Linked DNA regions of Astyanax mexicanus. The protein of the gene in region 2 purifies or fractionates together with the protein of the main gene of each other region. This does not show direct contact. Links are inferred from orthologs where the notes say so. Each region holds a gene or a part of one and is shown on either strand. Other genes may lie near its edges.

What was found. Proteins that work in one complex are often made in the same cells at the same time.
Region 1: the proteins of cdk19 (region 2) and med24 purify together in Homo sapiens (affinity purification with mass spectrometry; 6 studies listed by BioGRID and IntAct, counting the BioPlex papers as one, with this or other methods). This does not show direct contact. The link is inferred for Astyanax mexicanus from reciprocal best matches to the Homo sapiens genes CDK19 and MED24.
Region 3: the proteins of cdk19 (region 2) and med12 purify together in Homo sapiens (affinity purification with mass spectrometry; 10 studies listed by BioGRID and IntAct, counting the BioPlex papers as one, with this or other methods). This does not show direct contact. The link is inferred for Astyanax mexicanus from reciprocal best matches to the Homo sapiens genes CDK19 and MED12.

What each region holds. Positions count from the first base shown.
Region 1 is NC_064422.1:21,445,766-21,453,591, reverse strand, and holds the start of med24 (mediator of RNA polymerase II transcription subunit 24), read left to right. Parts: upstream 1-4,822; 5' UTR 4,823-4,843; intron 4,844-6,203; exon of another isoform or gene 6,204-6,361; intron 6,362-7,671; 5' UTR 7,672-7,672; coding exon 7,673-7,802; intron 7,803-7,826. UniProt on the Homo sapiens protein: Component of the Mediator complex, a coactivator involved in the regulated transcription of nearly all RNA polymerase II-dependent genes.
Region 2 is NC_064408.1:47,104,164-47,111,269, forward strand, and holds the start of cdk19 (cyclin-dependent kinase 19), read right to left. Parts: upstream 3,021-7,106; 5' UTR 2,868-3,020; coding exon 2,740-2,867; intron 1-2,739. Other genes in the region: amd1 (S-adenosylmethionine decarboxylase proenzyme), read left to right, coding at 4,238-4,347.
Region 3 is NC_064409.1:69,523,118-69,530,097, forward strand, and holds the start of med12 (mediator of RNA polymerase II transcription subunit 12), read left to right. Parts: upstream 1-3,976; 5' UTR 3,977-4,090; coding exon 4,091-4,189; intron 4,190-6,980. UniProt on the Homo sapiens protein: Component of the Mediator complex, a coactivator involved in the regulated transcription of nearly all RNA polymerase II-dependent genes.

The DNA of each region.
Region 1 (7,826 bases), on a different chromosome or scaffold from region 2:
AAATTCGACCTGTCAAATTCGACTGCTAAAATACAACGCTCAAAATTCGCTGTCAACATCCGGGACACACAGGATGAGCAATCGATTCAGTCTTCAATCGAGCCAACAACCAGCCAATCACATCACGCTCCGAAGATCACGTGACAGGTAGCGCCTCACGGCTCAGAGCCGCTCAACGCGAGTCACAGCCCCCTCCGCTGCTCCTCTCGAGTAGGTGAGTGTAACCCTGCGTTCACACTGGAACGCGACGAGTCGCTTGTGTCGCCCAGCGTTTGTCGCTTGTGGGCGTGTCAAGCTCAACGCCCGCGTTTATCATGGTCCAGCCTCCAACAAGAAAAAAGGCACAAAAAAGGAATCACTTGGCCACTTTATTCTCCAGCTATAACTCCCAAACTTGCTGGACTCTTGTGCGTTTCTGTGATTTAACTGCGCTGGAAACGCAGCCGTTCCCACAGACTGATGTGGGTCCACCCCGTTCAACAGAAAGAACCGGGAAAGAAACTAGAAATTCAGAGAGCAGGAGCTTGAGGACGTCGAACCGCCTTGTTTGTGATTGGTCCAAAGAAAAGCTAGGAGCCAATCGGGTTAGAATGTCGCTTCACCGCGTCATAACTCATTTGCATAAAGTTGAGAAAAATTCATCTCCGTGTCGCTTGTCGCTCTGTCGCTTTGTCGCTTGTCGCCTCTCGCGTGTCGCGGCGACAAATCGCGCCCTGCCATAGGAAATGAATGGTCGCCTGTCGCTTTGTCGCTTTCCAGTGTGAACGCAGGGTTAAACAGCTGAAAGAGGGCATTTACCTCACCACTGTGGCCATGTAATATCACTTAAACGGTGTAGAAATCCTCACTTTAACCACGGTTTGCTCTGTGGTTTGTAAACATAATAAATTAAGATAGATATCCAGATATACCTTGTTAAACTAACTAACTAAATAAATAAAGCTCCTCTGTTCATTTCAGAAAGAGCTTCAAACACGAACACTAGATCAATTATTTATAAATACAGCCAGACTGCGTGGAAGATAATTACTACTGTAGAATCTGTAGAAGTTTAAACTGCAGAGCGAAGCAGAGCCGCGGATACGAGGTATAAACGCGCTCCGCTGCTTAGCTGGATACACCTGAACATTCGTTCTCAAACCTCCGCAATTTCAGATCATTACCTTATTTCATTTAAATAGCATCTTAGTCATAATATACGTACATCCCTTAAACATAAAATAGAGAGACAGAAAAAGCTCGCACCGTGGTACAATGATCAAACTCGTACGTCAAAGCAGTTAGTACGAAATTTAGAGAATATTTTCACTCTGCGTGGAAAGACCGTCTTGTTAAATATAGAAAAGAACTTAATAAAACCATAGAGCTAATATAATCCTAGAGCTCTCTTTAGTGTTATTTCCAAATTAACTAAAAAACAGACAGGTACTGAACCTCAGACCCCAGCCATTCACACCAGCAACGCTTTTATGGACTTCTTCGATAGTAAAATTGAAAACATCGGGATAAAATTAAACAGATAAACAGCACTTTCTCTCTGTCATCTGATGCGGCTGATCTAGAACAAAACCCTGTTACGGAAGTTAGGTTGGAAGCCTTTAACCCATTCCACAGCTAGAACTAGAGAAAATCATCTCCTCTTCAAACAGCTCAACCTGCACACTTGATGCAGTTCCCACAAAATTACTAAAACAGGTACTACCAGATATAATTAAACCTCTGTTAATAATAGTAAACTCATCGCTCACCCTAGGCCATGTACCCAAAGCCTTTAAAATAGCTGTAATTAAACCTCTGATCAAGAAACCAAATCTTGATCCTAGTGTACTGTCTAACTATAGACCTATTTCAAACTTACTGTTTATTTCTAAGATTTTAGAAAAAGCTGTGGCCCAACTACTTTGCTCTTACCTTAAATTTTCATTGTTATGCGGATGAAACGCAGCTCTTCATTTCAGCCAAACCTGATGACAGAGTGAGATTAAAGAAAATCATGGATGTCGCACAACTTCCTCCTATTAAATAGTGATAAAACAGAAGTTCTCCTAATATGCCCAAAGCTGCTAGAAATAAATGATCAGACTTAATGCTAAATCTGGCCGACTTCTCCATCACACCTGGTTCAGCAGCTAAAAACCTTGGAGTTATTATAGATTCAGATCTAGCATTCGATAAACAACATATTTAATGTTGCTAGAACAGCTTTTCTACACCTCCGTAATATTGCCAAGCTAAGAAATGCCCTATCACTGCATGACGCAGAAACATTAGTACATGTCTTTATTACCTCAAGGCTAGATTATTGTAATGCGCTACTGTCTGGATGTTCCTGCAGTAACTTAAATAAACTTCAGCTAGTTCAAAATGCTGCAGCCAGGGTCCTAACTAAAACTAGAAAATGTAAGCATATTAATCTAGTCCAATCATCACTGCACTGGCTTCCAGTCAAATTCCGCATGGACGATAAAATTCTCCTGTTAACGTATAAAGCCCTACACGGGCTCACTCCTGAGTATTTGCGAGACCTCATCTCCTATTATGAACCACTGCGATTACTTAGATCTCAGGGTGCTGGTTTCTTAGTAGTTCCTAAAATTCATGCCTCCATGTCTATGTTACTTTCTAGATCTGCCGGAGACATTAGCCACACTCTGATAATGTTTTATATTCTCTGTTTTACATAAATCCAGTCAAAACTAATTCCATCTTTCTGCCTTCCTCCGAGTTACTGACTGCCCACCTGTCTGACCCAATACCGATGGATCTTGGACCCTCAGGCTCTCATGTCCCCTGTCTGGCCAGACTGGAAGTTTCTGAAGTCAGCTCTTCTCCATCCACCACAAATGCATTTTGTTGAACCAACATGACTTTATTATATTATTTTAAAGCTATTATTTTATGTAAAATATAGTATAACTATTACAGGAGAGCTTTGGCATACTTCATATGAAGATTGTATTTTTGCAAGCTGATCTATTATTTACGTAAAACATTTTGTATATCCCTAAACTGCCTAGTACTTTACATAAACATTTGCAGAAAGTTTTAGAAACTTTTCACACAGTTTGGAATCAATCAGTAATTCCTGGTATCCAGGATCAAGTTTTCACATTTTTCCAAGTTTTCCAGCTTATAGAGTTATCAAACCCCTGAAGGAGTGTGTAATTGGGAAAAACACCAATATGCAGACCATGAGGGGGACTTGTGCTCTATCTATCTTTGCCTAATACTTGCAAATTAAAGTATGATTGTCACTCAAAATGTTAATGAACATGAAATAAATAAATAGAAATTTAAATTTTAATAAGTTTTAAGTGTGCTTTGTTTGTGTCATTTTTATAAACTAACTAATCTCCGGACATCAGCTGGGAAAGGGCGAATGCATAGGCCTATTAGTCAAATAGAAACGTTAGTAAAGACCCTCTGAAAATAAAAGAAAGTTTAAGACCTTAAGGGAAAAAGATCTGCGTTTTAAAACTGGAAGACAGGATAAGCAGAAATCCAGCTTGTTTGGTGGGAGGAAGTGGAAGCTGCCCATTTCAGAACCGGAAGAACCTTCATTAGGATATTTTGGTACAGTGAGTGGAAGAGTCAGTGTTCAGGACTTCAATCATGGTTCTGGAAAACTGGAATGTCTCCGCTATAGATGGAAGGTTCTGGTACCAGCTTGGCAAACTAAAGTAAAGGAGAAAAGAAAGGAGGACATGGACAGTAAAGAGGACAGCCAGCAACAGTAATATAACAAAAATGACTAAAGATACATTTAGTGAGCGTATAAACATGCATTTAAATAATGAGATAGCTAATTAGTATATTGTTTGTTAAATGTTTATGTATTAGCTTCAGCAAATATGTACATTAAACAGTCACATTGGCCCCAATGACCCACTGCATGAGGACGTTTTTTAAAATAACCATTGTGAACCAGATTCAGAATAAGGAAACAATCCAAAACCATCCTATTCTAACAACAAAGCTACATCTGGTTACAAGTTGAAAAACTCTTCAACAAAAATACCAGTAATATCTGGACACTCTTATCAAATCAGCAATGTCTTTAAACTCTACTGATCTATTATTGCTAGGACATAAATGTGAAGTGGCCACAAAAAGGTTTTAAAAGAAACACACACAAAAAAACATTTGCATATATGTTCATATAATTCTTACTTTTTCTGATTCATTCTTAGATCTAAATCATAATTTTGTAACCGAGAAATCATGACAGAACCAATTTACTCACTTTTGCCAGCAATATGAGAGAATCTTTTCAGCACAGCTCAGTAAGAATGTCATTCAGCTTTTTGTGGTTTTACTAAAGCCATCAAGGCTATAAGATGAATCTTATCTGTTTATCACATTCACACAAACAATAAGCTTCTGTAACAAACTGCTGATTATTACTATAAGTTTTATTTTTTATCTACCAATAGTTCTAAGCTTCAAGAAAGAGTCACCCAAGAGTCAAATAAACTAAATTTTCCGCAGGTGCTGTAGGTTTTATCAGTCAGTGAATAACGATTGTTCTTTATGTTTTAAATTGACTGAATGTATCAGAATAATGTTGTTAAGAGGTAATGAAAGCTTATAGCCTGCAACAGGCATCATACAAGCATTTGGGTTTGTTCAACAACCTAAAACAGACTTGTTTATGGAGTTTTGACTGTACCTTTTCAGATGGGATTCTGCCTACCACCTCTTTACCACTCGCCATGAGCGCTCCCATCACAGAGTAGGCCACAATACTGCCGGGCAGAAAAACATACTGAGTTGCCGCCATTCTTTCGAATTGGTCAGTTCTTCGCGCCTGACACTCTGGCTGAAACTCCTATTTTTTAGAAAGGTAAACAGGAGGAACTACAGTTTGTATGTTTTGAAATGGTCTTATTTTTTTTACACTTTTAACATTATTTATGGGATATTTGGATAATTTTAAACCTATTTAGTTAAATAAATAAATTAATAATAAAACAAACAAAAACATAGCTGTAACAAACAACAGTCAGGTGACCCCTAAAATATTTAATGAAGGCAAACTGAGACCAACAATGATGGGGTTGGGGTGCTTTATAAACGAAAGCTCCTTTGAATTTTGGGAACTACTAGTAAACCAGCACCCTGTGATTTAAATAATCATGGTGGTTTATAACAGGATATGAGCTCATAACAATAGTCTAGCCTTGATGTAATGAAGGCATGTACTAATGTTTCTGTGTCATGCTAAGATAAAGAATTGTTTAGCCTGATAATGTTACAAAGATGCAAGAAAGCTGTTCTTAGATATGTGTTTATCGAATGCTAGATCTGAATCTATGATAACACCAAGATTTGTTGGCAAGATTTAACAGTCTGATCATTTCTTTTTAGCAGCTTTTGGCGTAATAGAAGAACGTCGGTTTTATCACAATTATGTGGTATTGATAATGAAGCATCGGCTAAAAGCGCAGTATTTCAGGATGCCGAGGGTGAACGAAGGTGGGCTATTTGACTAAAGTTCGTATTTCTTATTATGTTTCACTACACCCCAATTCCAGTTCACACAGCATTTCTCCTTTACCGCATTTTCGCCTCACACTAAAGATAGTGTCTTCCTGACCTGTAGGACAGGCTATAGCTGTGTATAAGAAATACATCAACTTTTTGAGAGAGATTTTATGATTAATTTAAAGAATTTGGTTTACGTGGAGGTGGAATAATCTTTTTAGCAACCAAAGCTACTTGGGACACAAACAATCGATAAGATAAATATGATATAACGTTTACATTTAAATAGCTAAAACAAATATGTATTAATGCATCAATATGTAATAAACTATTTAGAAGTTTTAAATGACTTTTTTTATTTACGTTTTTTAAAACAGTGTTTTTCTGTTGTTGCCTCAAGACAACATTATTATAAACTCTCTCTCGCTCTTTCTTTCTTTCTTTCTTTCTCTCTCTCTCTCTCTCTCTCTCTCTCTCTCTCTCTCTCTCTCTCTCTCTCTCTCTCTCTCTCTCTCTCACTCTGATATTGACATAAAAATAAATAGGAATTCCCGGATGTTTTGCGCAATTTGGAATTTTTACATCAAGAGAACATACCTGGGAAAATACGTCTCTTTCAGCGAAACCACTACATACCTTCCGCACGCACAAAAATATATTAATAAAATGTAAAAAATTAACAATAAAAAACAGTTTGAATTCCAAGCTCATCTGTCTGCTGATCGAGCTCGGTCACAGCCAACCAACCGCGTTAGAGCACACTCAGCGCGCTGGACCAATCACAGCGCGTGTTACTGTTTCCAGTATGGCGCCGGTGGTAAGCGATTGAATTGAAAAGCAACATTAAATCTAATCTTCAGTCAAAGAATAAAATCAGGTAAATCACCCTTGTACTATATTTATACTATAATGAAGATAATAATGGTAATAAAAGGCTGTTTAGATATCAGTTTAATCGTTAATATATGCGCGCGGTGTGTGTTTCTCTGTGCTCCTCTGGTTGGTGGGTTTGTTTGTTGATGTTGAGACACTCACTGTTCTGCGATTATTTATGTTATTATAATAACTGTATCGTTGAATGTGGGGTATTTAGAGTGAGAATTACACTGAGGTATCGCTGCGTGTGAAAGATATTTTATTAATAAACTCTGGAAAGTCATTTTCCTACTTAGTGTGATTTTTCTTTTATTACGTAGCGGTATATATCTAACGTTAACATGCTCCATATTTCTCATTTAGGTCACTATTGAGAACGTGTCCGAATCGTAAAGTGAAATTGGAACGTGATTTTGAGGGCACTATGAACTCCCACAATACTGTTTATGCTGTCTATACACTAACGTACAAGTTTTTGAAAAGACTCTGAAAATAAACATAAATAAATCATAGTCTGACACCCTGTCACATTTAAAGAGAAGTCTCTCACTTTTTACAGATTTTTAGTCACATGATAAGATTTTGCAAAGACTGGGGATCACTATTTACAAGACTGCAACTAGATTGTTTCTGAGATCATTTCCCATCATGCTTCTGCTGGAGTTTAGATACAAAACATACTACATATTAATCTAAAAATAATCTGTATATCAATACTGTGAGTTATCAGAGACCCACAACCTTTGTCCCCATCAAAAGTTTATTTTTTTGCCGCACTGTTAGTGTGTTTGTTTTGTGTTTAAGCTTATAAGCTTCTTTTCCCCTATTTTTTGCAACAACTTTGAATATTTAAGAAACACAGTTTCCCTGTTTTACATTTTCCTTTGTTTTAGATAGATTTAATGTAATACAAAACATCATTCTTGCTAAATGTGTATTTATTAAATAACACTGCACAATAAGGCAAAGTAGTGCAAAATGGAATAACTGTAAATATAATGACTTTAAAGTGCTTCCTGTGTTTAAAATACTGTACATATTAAAGTTAGAGCAATATAAGGTATTTTAACTGCAGAATGTGTTCTTTTTCAAGTCGTTTGTAAACAGTTACGTAAAATATTATTGCTTTGCCTCTTCCGTAGCTCTCCTATTGGTTGTTGATATTGTTCACGTCACTATTTGCGTGAGCCAAGTATCAAGATTTACGATAACATTAAACACGGTTGATTTTATCTATTTTATCACGGTTGAATGCCAGAATGAGACAAAGACTGACTAAAACTTTTAATCCTAATCCTAACATCTTTGCAGAATGAAAGTGGTGAACCTGAAGCAGGCCATTCTACAGGCATGGAAGGAGCGCTGGAGCGACTATCAGTGGGCCATCAACATAAAGAAAAACTGCCCCAAAGGCGCCACGTGGGATTACCTCAACCTGGCAGGTGGGACTAGGATTATTTCAGTGC
Region 2 (7,106 bases):
TCGTCTTTTTAAACAACAGTTGTCATTTTAGTCATCGCATACATTTGATCCGAAAGCCTGAAACATCTAGAAACGTGTTTTCACAATGTAGACGATCCACCTTTTCTGGACTGGTCCTTTGGTTGTTCACACCTGATATTTTTGTTTGGACCAAACTGAGAAGTCCAAAAGCCCAGGCCAAACAGGGCAAGTGTGAAAGCACTTTAAGGTCACTTTAAGAAGGACCAAACTGTGATTGCCAGATGATTTGGTCAGAACATCTCCAAAACAGCAGGTAGACCTTGTGGATTGTTGCCAGCAGGAAGTGGTCAGCACCTACCATATGTGCTCTAAGGAAGGACAATCAGTGAACCAAGGACTAAAAAGAGATCCTGCTAATGTTAGTCTTTGTGCTAAACACCTTGGTGCAGAACACCTACAGAGGTCTTGTACAGTGAATGCTCTTATGGGTCAGACATGTTTTTAGAGGAATGATGGGGGGCCTACACAATATTAAACAGGTGCTTTTAATTATATGACCAATTGATGTATATCAGAATCATTGGAATTTTCAGATTTTGATATGTCTGAATGTTTGTAAACACTGTTTCTAAATAATGCATCCTTTGCCGTCACAGCAAATGCAGACACAGTCTAGTCCATGTAAAGAACTACTGCCAATGGAATAGGACTGTTTATCTGGAGCCGATAAAAATGAACCTGTTGGCATCATGTCATATCATGTCAAGTGTGAGCTCATCTCCATATAGTACTTTAAGGATGAGGTGGGGAGCTGTGGATGGAGTAGACTGGTGATCATCCAACCTCAGGTCAATACTGCTCTTGCTGCTGAATGCACTCCAAAATTTAGTAGATAGCTTTCCCTGCACAGTAGAGACAATTACTCCAAAAAACGCTAAATTTAATTTTAGAAGAAACAATAAAGTAGCAGGTGTCCCAATACTTTTGTCCATATAGTGCATTTACATGAAATATAGCAGATAACTTTATCAGCCTTAGACATCTCAGTGTATGTATTATTATTTTTAGATGTTTAATATGATGATATTTAAACAGAAACTAGCTGTCTGTTTAAATAACATAAATCTGAGAGTCTAAGAGAGAGAAAAGAACATCTTCAGAGGGGGTTTACAATTAATGGGCTTCTAATGTTAGTTTTTAAAATGTTGCATTTATTTGGAATCTGCTTTGTACACATTATGGTTATAATTAGTTAAGTAACATGTAATTACTATCTGAGTTTCATTTAACTAGGTTTATGTTACACTAGTGTCATCACCAGAATGGCTGTGTGGTTAGTAGGTACATCTCTGACAGTAGATACACCTTCCCTGCACAAAAGAGAGAATGTTACTTCAGCAAAAGCTAGAATAACTCTTTTAAATACCCATGATTTTGGAAGAAACAATAAATAATTGAATGCTTGATTCAATATAATGTGTTTTCTTGAGTATGTGTATTGGACACTCTAAAACTGTACAAAAGAGGTTTTCAAACTTTTCCACATCACGACCCACCTGTGTAAAAAGCATAACTACCCACAAGATAACAAAACAAAAGCTTTTTGACAATCTCTCTATAGATGTTCTGAACAGGTCATCTAGCCATCACAGCTCAGTCCTTCTTAAAGTGACTTGCCAGTTTGGTCCAAACAAAAATAGCAGATTTAAGGAACCAAAGGACCCGCAAAAAAGGTAGTCTTGGTCCAGATCTACTAAACCATGGCCCAGTTCATCTTGAATTGTAAATCTTTTTGAACCTCTCTACAAGGGTTTGGTAGGTCACCCCTGAACTAGACAGTATTATGATCCATTTAGCTATTCCAGTGAATACTGAATGACAGCATCTGGACACATCAGTAGTTATAACATGTTCTAACACTGCTGCTGAGTTTAGACTTCTAACAGTAACAATGAAACTTCTCTCTCCAGCCTGTAGTTATATTACAATCAGATAATTCCTGACTAAGGCGCTGTCACTATGATCAGGAGATTGCTGGTTCGAATCCTGTTTATGCAGCTTGCTATCGGCTACCGGAGCCCTGAGAGAGCACAACTGACCTTGCTCTCTCTGGGTGGGTATTTGCACTTTCTCCCCACATCACTTCAAGGGGTGATGTCCGCAGCACAAGGCGTCTTTGAGATGATGTATCGGACAAAAATAGAAATAAAATTTAAAAATTAAAAAATCAGATAATTCCGGTCACACTTTAAAGACGTTAAGTCCTGCTTTTGACACCAAGACTGGTGCTTTTTCTTATTTCTTACTAAAGCAGCTCGAGTATTGCACATTTAGACAAGTGATAACTCAAAGCCTGAGCCTGAGACTGTCCAATAAGAGCGAGGCAGGGATCACTCCTATTGGACAGCCTTGTGAGGCATGAATGCTCCAACTCCAGAGTAAAACCCTGCGTTGTAAAACAGCTTCACGTGCAGAGAGACAGTCATCCCCTCTGAGCTGTAGTGTATTTCACTTCACGTTCACACTGTAAAATAAACAGCAGCAGCGCGGTGTCGTTCTGGGGGGAGGACCGTTTTGTGTGTGTGTGTTTATAGATGTGCGTGCGCGCGCGCGTGTGTGTGTATAAAAACAAAACCAGTCCCAGACTCGAGCTCGGTTTCTTACACCCCCCACCACACACACACACACACTCGCCTCCGCGCTTCTCCTCGCGAAGGAGAAAGTGCGCGTGGAGCGGAGAAATGAGTGAAAGCAGGCCGTTTTAGCTCGCTGTCTTACCCGTCTTTGCGCTTGGCTTTATAAACATGCCCGTAGGTGCCGCGACCCACTTTGCAACCTTCATATTCGAACAGATCCTCCACTCTCTCCCTCTCCGCGGCGAGCTTCGTTTTGAAGTCGTAGTCCATCGCGACCCATAAATACTTCTTAATTTAGGATAAAATAAAATATTAATTATTACGTGCATTAATTAAATAATCTGATCGCTTTATTCCCCCACCATTTCCTTGTTTGGGATTTTGGTCTGCTCCGCTTAATGTTCACTGGCTCGTTGAGCGTTTTTTTGCTGGTGCGAAACGCTTTCTGGGAAATGTAGTCTTCCCGCAGCAGGAGGCCCGCCGAGCGCCGTGAGATCAGCGCGCTGCGGGAACTACAATCCGCACAGCACGCCGCGGTGATCGCACTTGCGTAGTCATGTTCGCGCTCTCAGAAAAAAAAAACATTGCAGGGACGGGAGAGAATTCATATTGCATATCGTATGTTTTATTTGTTTTTTTGCTCACATGCGCCGAACCCTTAAACTGAGACAATAAAACTAAGACAATGGAATGGAAACCATTCCCTATAATGCTATTTAATGTGATAAAAAAAACTGTTCAGCCACTCTTTGCAGTAAAACTACACAAAAGACTGTATTTATATATGACTGTCATAACATTATAAATAAGAATTTTCGAGTTTACCCAGGGGAATTATATTGCGCATTTTTTGTAAATAAAAAATGCCTTTTCTGGATTTACATTCCCTTTTTTCTGTGTCTACGTGAAAAACAGTCTTGTGTTTGTGTTTTAAACTGTCCTTTTACTCTTATCAACGCTGCTTGCCTTTTTTATGCGTCTGCATCACTCGAAATGATTCCCATGATTCTTTTGTAGGATATGCGCAGTATTTATGTGTGTGTAATATAACCTAAGGTTAGGACAATACAAAAATACCTTTAATACTTTTTAAGCTAGAATTGGACTGCTAAAATTGTGCCGTATTAATTGAAGTACGTTAAAATCAACTGAATCGGTTCTTTTGAGTGGACTGTTTTGTTGAATCGGTTAACTACTTCACTGAATCAAACTTCTTCACTGCGCTGTCAGAACTGCAGCCCGCCTTGAGAAGACGCCTTTACGCAACGCTTGTCCTCGGAGTGGCAGAAACCTTGGCCAATCCTATGCGGGCTAAGGGCGGGACTTTATGTATGATTGGTCTGTCTTATTTTTTACGTCAGCGGCTAGGTTATAAAAGCTCCGCGCACCCAGTAGTCCGCGCTTACACAGTATGGCCGGCGATATTAGCTAGCACTCGCTCACGGTGTTCTCTGTAAAAGGGGAAGACGGTAAAAATCATTTAAAGCATCCCAAGAAATCAACACCCGGACTGCTCAAGGACTGTACCAAGATCTCTATAAGTTATCTACCCAGCAAAAAGGACTTTAATAAGCTAGACCCGAGCTAGGTTTATTTTTTTTTATTTTTTTTTCTGTTGTTGGTGTCTTGTTTGTCTCACGATGGAGGACAACGGTGCACACTTCTTTGAGGGGACCGAGAAGCTGCTGGAGGTGTGGTTCTCCCGGCAGGACGAGACCAAAGGAACCGGGGACCTCCGCACCATCCCGAGGTTTGGGGGCGAATTCTCTAAAGCGAGATGTGTGGATGAAGCTAGATAACCAGATAGATCTGTGGGTTAGCTGAGGAGCTGGGTTAATGCTCTAGGCTTTGGCACGCGTGTCAGTCAGCTCATATAAAATAGACATAAAACTGAACAGTATGATTCTGTTAAAAGGTTGGTTTGGTGATTTAGATGATCAGATAGCTGGCTAACTTGTGCGTATCTCTCTGTGTCTCTCTGCTGTGGCTCAGTATGGCAGCGTCCCTCCCCCTCCCTCCAGTCAGTCAGTCAGTCACTCATTCATTTGTGCTGCAGTAACGACGGAGCAAATAGCTCCAGCCCTGATCAGCTCAGCCTCGCTTTAATCAGCGCTCTGATCTGATCACTGATACCCTAAACTACTAAAGAGTAGTCTGTGCTGGTTTTATAACTATCTTCTTATAACTATCTTCAATGACAATGAAAAAAAAATGTTAGCTAAGCTCGCTACGGCTCTCATTTCACTACGCAGTTCTATCCGAACCTCCCCTTTAACACGGGTTTGGCCTTATTTATCCTAATTTAATTACAAAATTCTAAATGTAAAAAAATGCCAGATCAACGTACATAGCTAAGTTTGTCTAGCTACCCTGGAAATTGTGCGGTTGCTAGGTTAGTTAGCTAGCGACAAGCTAACGCTAATACAGTATGGCGCGAGCCATTAGCGTTAGCCACCAGGCTAACTAGCTGCTCTGTTTGCACTGACGTAGCTAAGCTAAGCGAGCTAACCTAACCTGCACCCAATACTCTTAACAGGCAGCATAACTACAACACATGCTCCATTTGTCTCTCTAGAGGTTTATCATCAGAAAAATAACGCAGAGGAGTTTTATATTTAGAGGGGTGAAGAGGTGCTGCGCTCCATAATCTGTGTTGAGTGAAACGTGGGCCCTGTGGAGCATGTGGTGGTGGTGGTGGCGCCCTGCTGCCTCGGCTGAAGCCCCCCCAGTTTTAGTCTCAAATGACAGACTCTGACACTCAGATATTAACTCAGACATGTTAAAACATGTAATAAAGAACATTTAGGTATTTTATGTCGTTTTTTACTAGAAGCGACTCTATTACAGAGATAAGCTATGGAATGTTAAACATTAAAAATTAGCTAGTAATTTAATTCTGACTAGGCATGTTCTACCATCCGTTTCGAACTAAAATTTCACTCTTTTAGTAGTTAGAAGAGAAGTTACAATTATATGTAATTACTCATTGGCTGGTAAGAGTTGTAATTCCAGATATCTCCACTGTAGGTAAATTCTGTCTGGTAAAAAAGTCCAGGTTCACATATTTGTAAATTTATTCTGACTAGAACAAATGCTAATTCAAAATATATATAATGTTTTGGCTAGAACTGTATTTCAGATATGTGTTTAAATCTCTATAATATAAATAGATAAATATGTACTAATTAAAAAATTTACTTGTACTATAATAAATTTAATGTTATTGATGTTAAAATCTATAGTTTTGCTATTTCAGACAGAGTGCAATTTCATGCAAGTTAATTGTAACATATGACCAGTCAAATTTACACTCGGGGTATGTCATCTTGGCAAAATGGCTACTCAGAATGGCCTCAGATCTGGAGACCTGATGTTACTGCTAAAAAAAATAGCAGATAAAACTTGCAATAAAGACGTATGCAATTTAAGGTTTTACCAGTAAAAAATGAATTACAACTAGCACAATACAAAAGCAAAACAGACGCATAAAAAGTGACAAACATTACGTAGCAAAAGATAATCTGAAATGTATTACAGAGAGTTAAAGAAGTGCTGGGGTGAAAAAGAACTGGAGAGACACTGCCGCAGTGCCAACCTGTCACACAGACGATTTACAGCACCTGCAGTAGCCTGGCTAATACCCAAGAGTTGAGAGAATGCTTTCCAAATGAATGAAACTCACCTTAAAATGAGTGTTAAAACTGTAAGACGGATCTCAAAATGTGTGTTAATGTCATATATTGCTCATAGAGCTTCTAATCATTTCAGTACAAATAGTGTATAGTCATATAGAGCCACGATCAAGGCTCAACCGACCTGAATGTTTGTCGAGTTATATTCTTTACCCTTTGTAAATGTCTGTTTGGGGTTAAATTGAAAAATATGTTTAAAAAATGTTTTTTATACAATGATAAAACATCTGAATCTTAAAATGTGCATTTGCAGTGTGCAATGTCATTTCACACAGAAGTGAAGTATGTAACATTAGGTGCTTACAAAATAGTTTCTCAGAAGGAGCTTTAAAGAAAGTCAGTTTCACAGAATAATATGATTGAGCAAGCTTGAGTTTTTCTTTGATCTAGGTTAACTTAGCTTTACTTGTTTGTCTTTATATTTTTAGCTTTATCTGCTTTTTCCAGTGGTTCCTGACTGCTTGTTTTTAGACTCTAGTGTTTTCTGTTCTGTCAAAGCCTTTATTCAGTGTAACAAGTTTTCCTTGAGGCTAAAATTATGTTTTGATTGGTGTAGAGACTAAATATTGTGCAGTGTGTAACTGCTCTAGGACCAGGGTTTGGAAATACAATGCACTGCGCCATGTGGAAGTCACGTTTTTCCCCTTGTGCCGAGCAAACTCCTCCTTGTGGCCTGATTGGAGGAGCGTGACCTCCAGCTGTGCTCTGACCTCTAAAGACCTGCCCCCTATTCAACAGCATGAAATGTGGTTGTAGGCATGGAGGTGCTGATTCATCTTGTAACGAGCGGAGTTTAGCTGCTGTGGTTCTTGCTGAA
Region 3 (6,980 bases), on a different chromosome or scaffold from region 2:
ATAAAATTAGGTATATCTGTATTTTTAATTTACAACCAATTACAGATGTCAGACCAAAAAAGCTTACTATAATAACATTTAACAAATAAATGTTCTATTGATTATCTCTCTCCAGAGAAAATAGTGCAGGGGCTCATCTGAAATTTGAATATATATATTAGGTCATTAACTGGGTACACTGCTGTTACAATTTTAGCTTTGGGAGTAATAGGACATGATGAATAAAAACAAAAAGCTTGTCGTTTCATATATTCTCCCGTGAATAGCATGAGTTAAAGTCATCAAAAATACATTGTTTAAACAACTTACTTATTAGTCTAATTAGTATTTTTTTTAATCCAAAAGGTTGATATCACCAACCTTTATAGTAGAAAAGGAAGGTGCAACAGGGAAGGATTTAATACTATTTTGAACCAGCTGAAGTAAGGGAATAGGAACTGCTTTACAAATGTATCATACCCCTTGCTGGAGACAATTTTATACATTTCAGTACATTTTTCCATGGATAAAATGACCACCTGAATTTGATATGTTGAGAACAAAAGTTGTCGGCTCTAATGCTGCCGTATTACGACTTTATTCTCAAATTATTACGACTTTATTCTCCTAATATTAGACTTTACTCTTGCAGTGAACTGTTTTGATGCCCTAATGTCTTTTGTTGCTGTGTTTTCCAGTGCAGTGGGCGGAGCTAAGGTAAACTACCACGGTAAAGTTAGTTTCATTTTTGATATTCGACTTTTCGGCTCTAATAACTTCTGAACGGAGGATGGTAGCCAGCAGATACTTACATAATCAGGACAGTACGACCACAGAGAGTGACGCACACCCTTCCTTTTACTGTTTGGGTGAAATTTGCGCAACGCCCTTTTAGCGTTAATACCGAAAAACTAAGCGCACTTTTCCTGTCAGAATAAAATGCATGTACTTCTAGACCACCTCTACTTCTGTACACACTCATTTATTTACCTCCAAATCACTTCAGTGCATAAAAATGCCTATTAATGTTCCCACATAAGAATAGATGGCTTTAAGAAAAAAAAACACCAATAGCTCCATATCCTTAGGGTTCATACACATCAGAATAACGGGGATGTATACTTTGAGTCATGAGGAAAATTGCACACCCATTAATATTATGCAAAATGCTCTAATTTTTTATTATATTTTATATATTCACAAATTCAATAGCATTTCAGCAACTGTGTATGTCACAGCTAGGTGGCAGCAGACACGCACACCATTTATATTTTGGATACAGTGCCAATTCTAGTGAATATTACATTTTATATATTTGAAAAATCAATAGAATTTAAACCGAATTACACAGAACACTAAAAATAAGTGTGTATGATACAGCTAGGTGTCAGGAAACACAAACAATCTTTGAAATTTGGATACATTGCCAATTCTACTAATTATTAAATTATATACATTTTAAAATGTAATAGCTTTCAAACCGAATTACACAGAACAATAAAAACAAGTGTGTATGATACAGCTAGGTGGCAACAAACACACACACGCTTTATATTTATGATACACTGCCAATTCTACGAATGATTAAATTTTATATATTTTAAAATGTAGTAGCTTTCAAACCAAATCACACAGAATAATAAAAACAAGTGTGTATGATACAGCTAGGTGGCAGCAGACACACACACCATTTATATTTTGGATACAGTGCCAATTCTAGTGAATATTACATTTTATATATTTTAAAATTCAATAGCTTTTACACCAAATCACACAGAACAATAAAAACTAGTGTGTATGATACAGCTAGGTGGCAACAAACACACACACACACTTTAAAATTTGGATACATTGCCAATTCTATTAATTATTAAATTTTATATATTTTAAAATGCAATAGCTTTCAAACCGAATTACACAGAACAATAAAAACAAGTGTGTATGATACAGCTAGGTGGAAACAAACACACACACACTCTTTAAAATTTGGATACATTGCCAATTCTATTAATTATTAAATTTTATATATTTTAAAATTCAATAGCTTTACACCAAATCACACAGAACAATAAAACTAGTGTGTATGATACAGCTAGCTGTAGCATACACACTTGTTTTTATTATTCTGTGTAATTGAGTTTAAAAGCTATTGAATTTTAAAATATATATATAATTTAATAATATGTAGAATTGGCACTGTATCATAAATATAAAGCATGTGTGTTTGTTGCCACCTAACTCTATCATACACACTTATTTTTAGTGTTCTGTGTAATTCGGTTTAAATTCTATTGATTTTTTAAATATATAAAATGTGATATTCACTAGAATTGGCACTGTATCCAAAATATAAATGGTGTGTGTGTCTGCTGCCACCTAGCTGTATCATACACACTTGTTTTTATTATTCTGTGTGATTCGGTTTGAAAGCTACTACATTTTAAAATATATAAAATTTAATAATTCGTAGAATTGGCAGTGTATCATAAATATAAAGCATGTGTGTGTTTGTTGCCACCTAACTCTATCATACACACTTGTTTTTATTGTTCTGTGTAATTCGGTTTGAAAGCTATTACATTTTAAAATGTATATAATTTAATAATTAGTAGAATTGGCAATGTATCCAAATTTCAAAGATTGCGTGTGTTTCCTGACACCTAGCTGTATCATACTTATTTTTAGTGTTCTGTGTAATTCGGTTTAAATTCTATTGATTTTTTAAATATATAAAATGTAATATTCACTAGAATTGGCACTGTATCCAAAATATAAATGATGTGCGTGTCTGCTGCCACCTAGCTGTGACATACACAGTTGCTGAAATGCTATTGAATTTGTGAATATATAAAATATAATAAAAATTTTGAGCATTTTGCATAATATTAATGGGTGTGCAATTTTCCTCATGACTCAAAGTATACATCCCCGTTATTCTGATGTGTATGAACCCTAAGGATATGGAGCTATTGGTGTTTTTTTTTTTCTTAAAGCCATCTATTCTTATGTGGGAACATTAATAGGCATTTTTATGCACTGAAGTGATTTGGAGGTAAATAAATGAGTGTGTACAGAAGTAGAGGTGGTCTAGAAGTACATGCATTTTATTCTGACAGGAAAAGTGCGCTTAGTTTTTCGGTATTAACGCTAAAAGGGCGTTGCGCAAATTTCACCCAAACAGTAAAAGGAAGGGTGTGCGTCACTCTCTGTGGTCGTACTGTCCTGATTATGTAAGTATCTGCTGGCTACCATCCTCCGTTCAGAAGTTATTAGAGCCGAAAAGTCGAATATCAAAAATGAAACTAACTTTACCGTGGTTCAAAAACTGTGCAACAAAACATGATATATCTTTAAAAAATATATATCTTTTGTAATATAAGATATCTTTGTAATGGACGCAGGGTCTGAAAGGGTTACATTTACAATGTAGAAAATTACAAAAAAAGAAAGAAAGACTTTTGACTGGTACTATAGTTTACTATAGGTATACTAGTAAACTATTTTTGTGGTGTTCTGTCGAGTTGTGCTACCTTGTCAAACCTTGCTACCATAGTAGTATTTAAGGTAAAAAAAAGCACCAAATTAAACCATACTAGAGAATACTCCCAGCTGATAGGTAGGATAGATAGGTAGGATAGCTGATAGGTAGGATAGACGTGGTAGGCTAAATCACTGTATCAGGCAGGGTTAAAAAATAAAGTAATTTACGTGATTAGAACCCTATTTTTTTGTTTTATAGCTTATGATTATTTTTTTACTTACCGTTAATATTTTTTTACTGCTATTAAAAGTTTTAAAACATTAAATCAAGTTGTTTAATACTCCCAATAAAAACGTAATGAATTACATTACAAAAAAAATGAAAAATGTCCGTAAAAAAAGCACATATCTATGGATAGCATAACTCGACACAACACCCGGCTTTTAAACCTTCCGATTTAAATCCATATCAGGGTCTTTTAATTTGCCGGGTGTTTTCCCACAGTTCCGCTGGCTGTTGATTGGAGCGGGGCAGGGAGCGGAGCGTCGCTGGCTGTAAGCCGCTGTCGGGTATCGCTCGGTCGGATCGGGGACGGACGGACTCGGCCCGGGCTGCTATGCGGCTGGGACCATGGCGGCCTTCGGGATGTTGAGTTACGAGCACCGGCCCCTGAAGCGACCCAGACTCGGCCCTCCCGACGTTTATCCCCAGGACCCGAAGCAGAAAGAGGTCAGAGCCCGTCTTTACACACAGAGTCAGTCCACAAAGAGCCGGAGCGCTAGCCGGAGAGCTACGCTAACCTAGCTAACCGAGCACCACCAAACCCCCGGGCCTTCAGCAGCGCCCGCTAACCCGCAACAATACCGGCCTAACCGGGCTAAACCCGACCCGCCCGGTCCGCCACAGAGCCCGGCAGCAGGCTGAGATATAGCCCTGCCTGTGTAGCAGCGCTGTGTTCACTTTATATAAATAAAAACACGAACTGGACAATAATAAACTGCTCAGAAACAGAGCTGCTAACTTACTGCAATCCTGAGCGTTTTCCTACTCAACCCCCATCCAAATAAAATACCGAGGAAAAGAGATTAATATAAGGAGATTTGGGTGTTTCAGAAACGGCTAAAGTGCTTAAAATTATTAGGAAATTGACGTTAAAAACGAAATTTAATTCTGTGTCAGTTAACGCTGGCTGAGCTATCTGGGTTAGCTCGTTAGCTGAAATCTGTCGGCTGCTGTTTGTTGACAAGTCGTATCTAGGTTAGCTAACAGCTAGCTAACAGTAACTTGCTCACTGGCTATCTAACATAATTGATCTAATTTACACAAAGCTAAGCTAACATGCTTATATTATGTTTTTATATCGAAAACAACCGTAAACACAACGTTATATAAATCATATAATCCAAAGTTAGCACGCAGAGTGTGCAGTGGTAATATAACATTCCAGCAGGAACACCAAAAAATGCAAGTTGGTCTCGTTAAGTTTCCGTTTGTCTTCACTATATCCAGTGCTTCTAATTTGGCACTGTGCTGCTAAGCCTAAATGTTTGGTTAACCTAGACAAGTTTGCATTTTATTGGTGCAGCTTGAATCTCTAGGAGACCATCTTTAATGTGTCTGATTATCACATTAAAATCATGTCCAATTCATTCCTATATCTCGTATTCTTAAAGCCTATTGTGCCATTTTACAGAGATGGAGATGTAGCTAGCTAAGAAACAATACAGAAAATAAACATAGCGTTATATATATATCATATAATCCAAAATAATCCAAAGTAATAACTCACTACAGTTTAGAAATATACAACAAAATACAGTTATACAATCCCAGCAGGAATACCAACAAATGCAATTTGATCTCAGTAAGTTTTTATTTGTTTATTTATTCAATACTTCAAATTCGGCACTTTGCTGCTGAGCCTAAATGTTGGGTTGAGTTTCCATTTTTGGAGATCTTTGCCAGTGTTCTATTGGTGTGCAGATTGAATGGGTCTGATTATCACATTAAAAGTCAAGTCCATTTGATTCCTTTACCGGTCTTATAGCCTAACTAATGTGCACAGAGCAACAGAGATTTAGATTTAGGAAAAAAGAAGTGAAAGAAAAGAAACCTATAAAGCATAAGTGTTATAACATTTATTATTTTTAGTTTTATTTTTAAATTTTACATTTTTTTTAACTGAACTCTTTTTAATTCTATGTATTTTTTTATTGTCATTTTTTCCTTAATGTAATACTTGTTAACAGATTGTGATTGTTAAGTGTCAGAGGTGTTGCTCTCACCAAGTCAAGTTTGATCTTGTTCAGTTTCTGTTTTTTTGGAGATATGTGCTGGTGGTCTGTTGGTGTGCAGCTTTGAAGTGTCTGTGTGATCATGTATCTAACTAGCTTCTTGACTAACTGGATAATTATATAGGTTATATTACATTTATTATTTCAAACCATTTGTGTAGTTATGCAGTACTTCTTATCTGGCATTGTGCTGCGTGCTGAGGGTTAAATGTGCAAAACTTTTGAACATGCATTCATGCTGGTGGTGTGTTGATGCTTTAGTGCATCCATTAAGTTAATAGTTAAGTCTATTTTATTTACTGAGATTCAGATGTTGACAAACAATATTTTAAATGTGTTATCCAGAGTAAACAACCCAAAATGAGCAGTGGTAATGAACAACTCCCTTCAAGATGCATAAACACTAGGAATGCTGCGAAATTATTTATTTTGCATGTAACTGAACATAATGGAAACATGATCAAATAAAATGTTGTTTCAAAAATATTTATTGAACACTGAACAGTTTTGACATGTCATATTAAATTGACTTGTGTGATCAGATAGGTCTATGCATTGGTAATAAATACCCATCTAAAATCATTATCGAACATGAAAGACACTATAGACATTTTAGGTTAGTTTGTCTAATTGTGTGTATGACTAATGTGTTTGTTGACAAGTTGTGGCTACCTGACTACCTTTTTGCCTACTGTGCTATACTACACTACTGGTATTATTACTATTATTTGACACACAGTATGTTTGTTCATGCAGTACTACTAAATTTAAGGGCTTCTGAATGCAAATACTGTGTTAAATATGCTTATTTTTTGGAAATACATGACAGTGGTCTGTTGGTATGCATCTTGAATAATTGTATACCCTCACAATCTTAAGTGTGACTGTGGTGTCACTCTGAAAGTCAAATATTTTTTTTTGTAAAGCTCCTTTTGCAATTTAATATTCCTATGAAGTGGCTTCTCAGAGATTCACGTTTAAAACGACAGAATGAAGACCAAATGTGGAAGTGGTTAGGAATAGCTCCCTAAAAACTGCATAAATACCAAGACATTTTAGACCCATTATACATGTTTTATACGACAAAACGTTTTAAGATCTGTAGGTGGTCTGGATTGGAGTCTGGAAGACCATCCTGAGAGTCTTTCATGCTTACCTTGTTTGTTCCAGAGTTTTCAGTTTGGTTTGAAAGCAGATGTGAAAGGGGCTGCGAACCACAGTCCAGA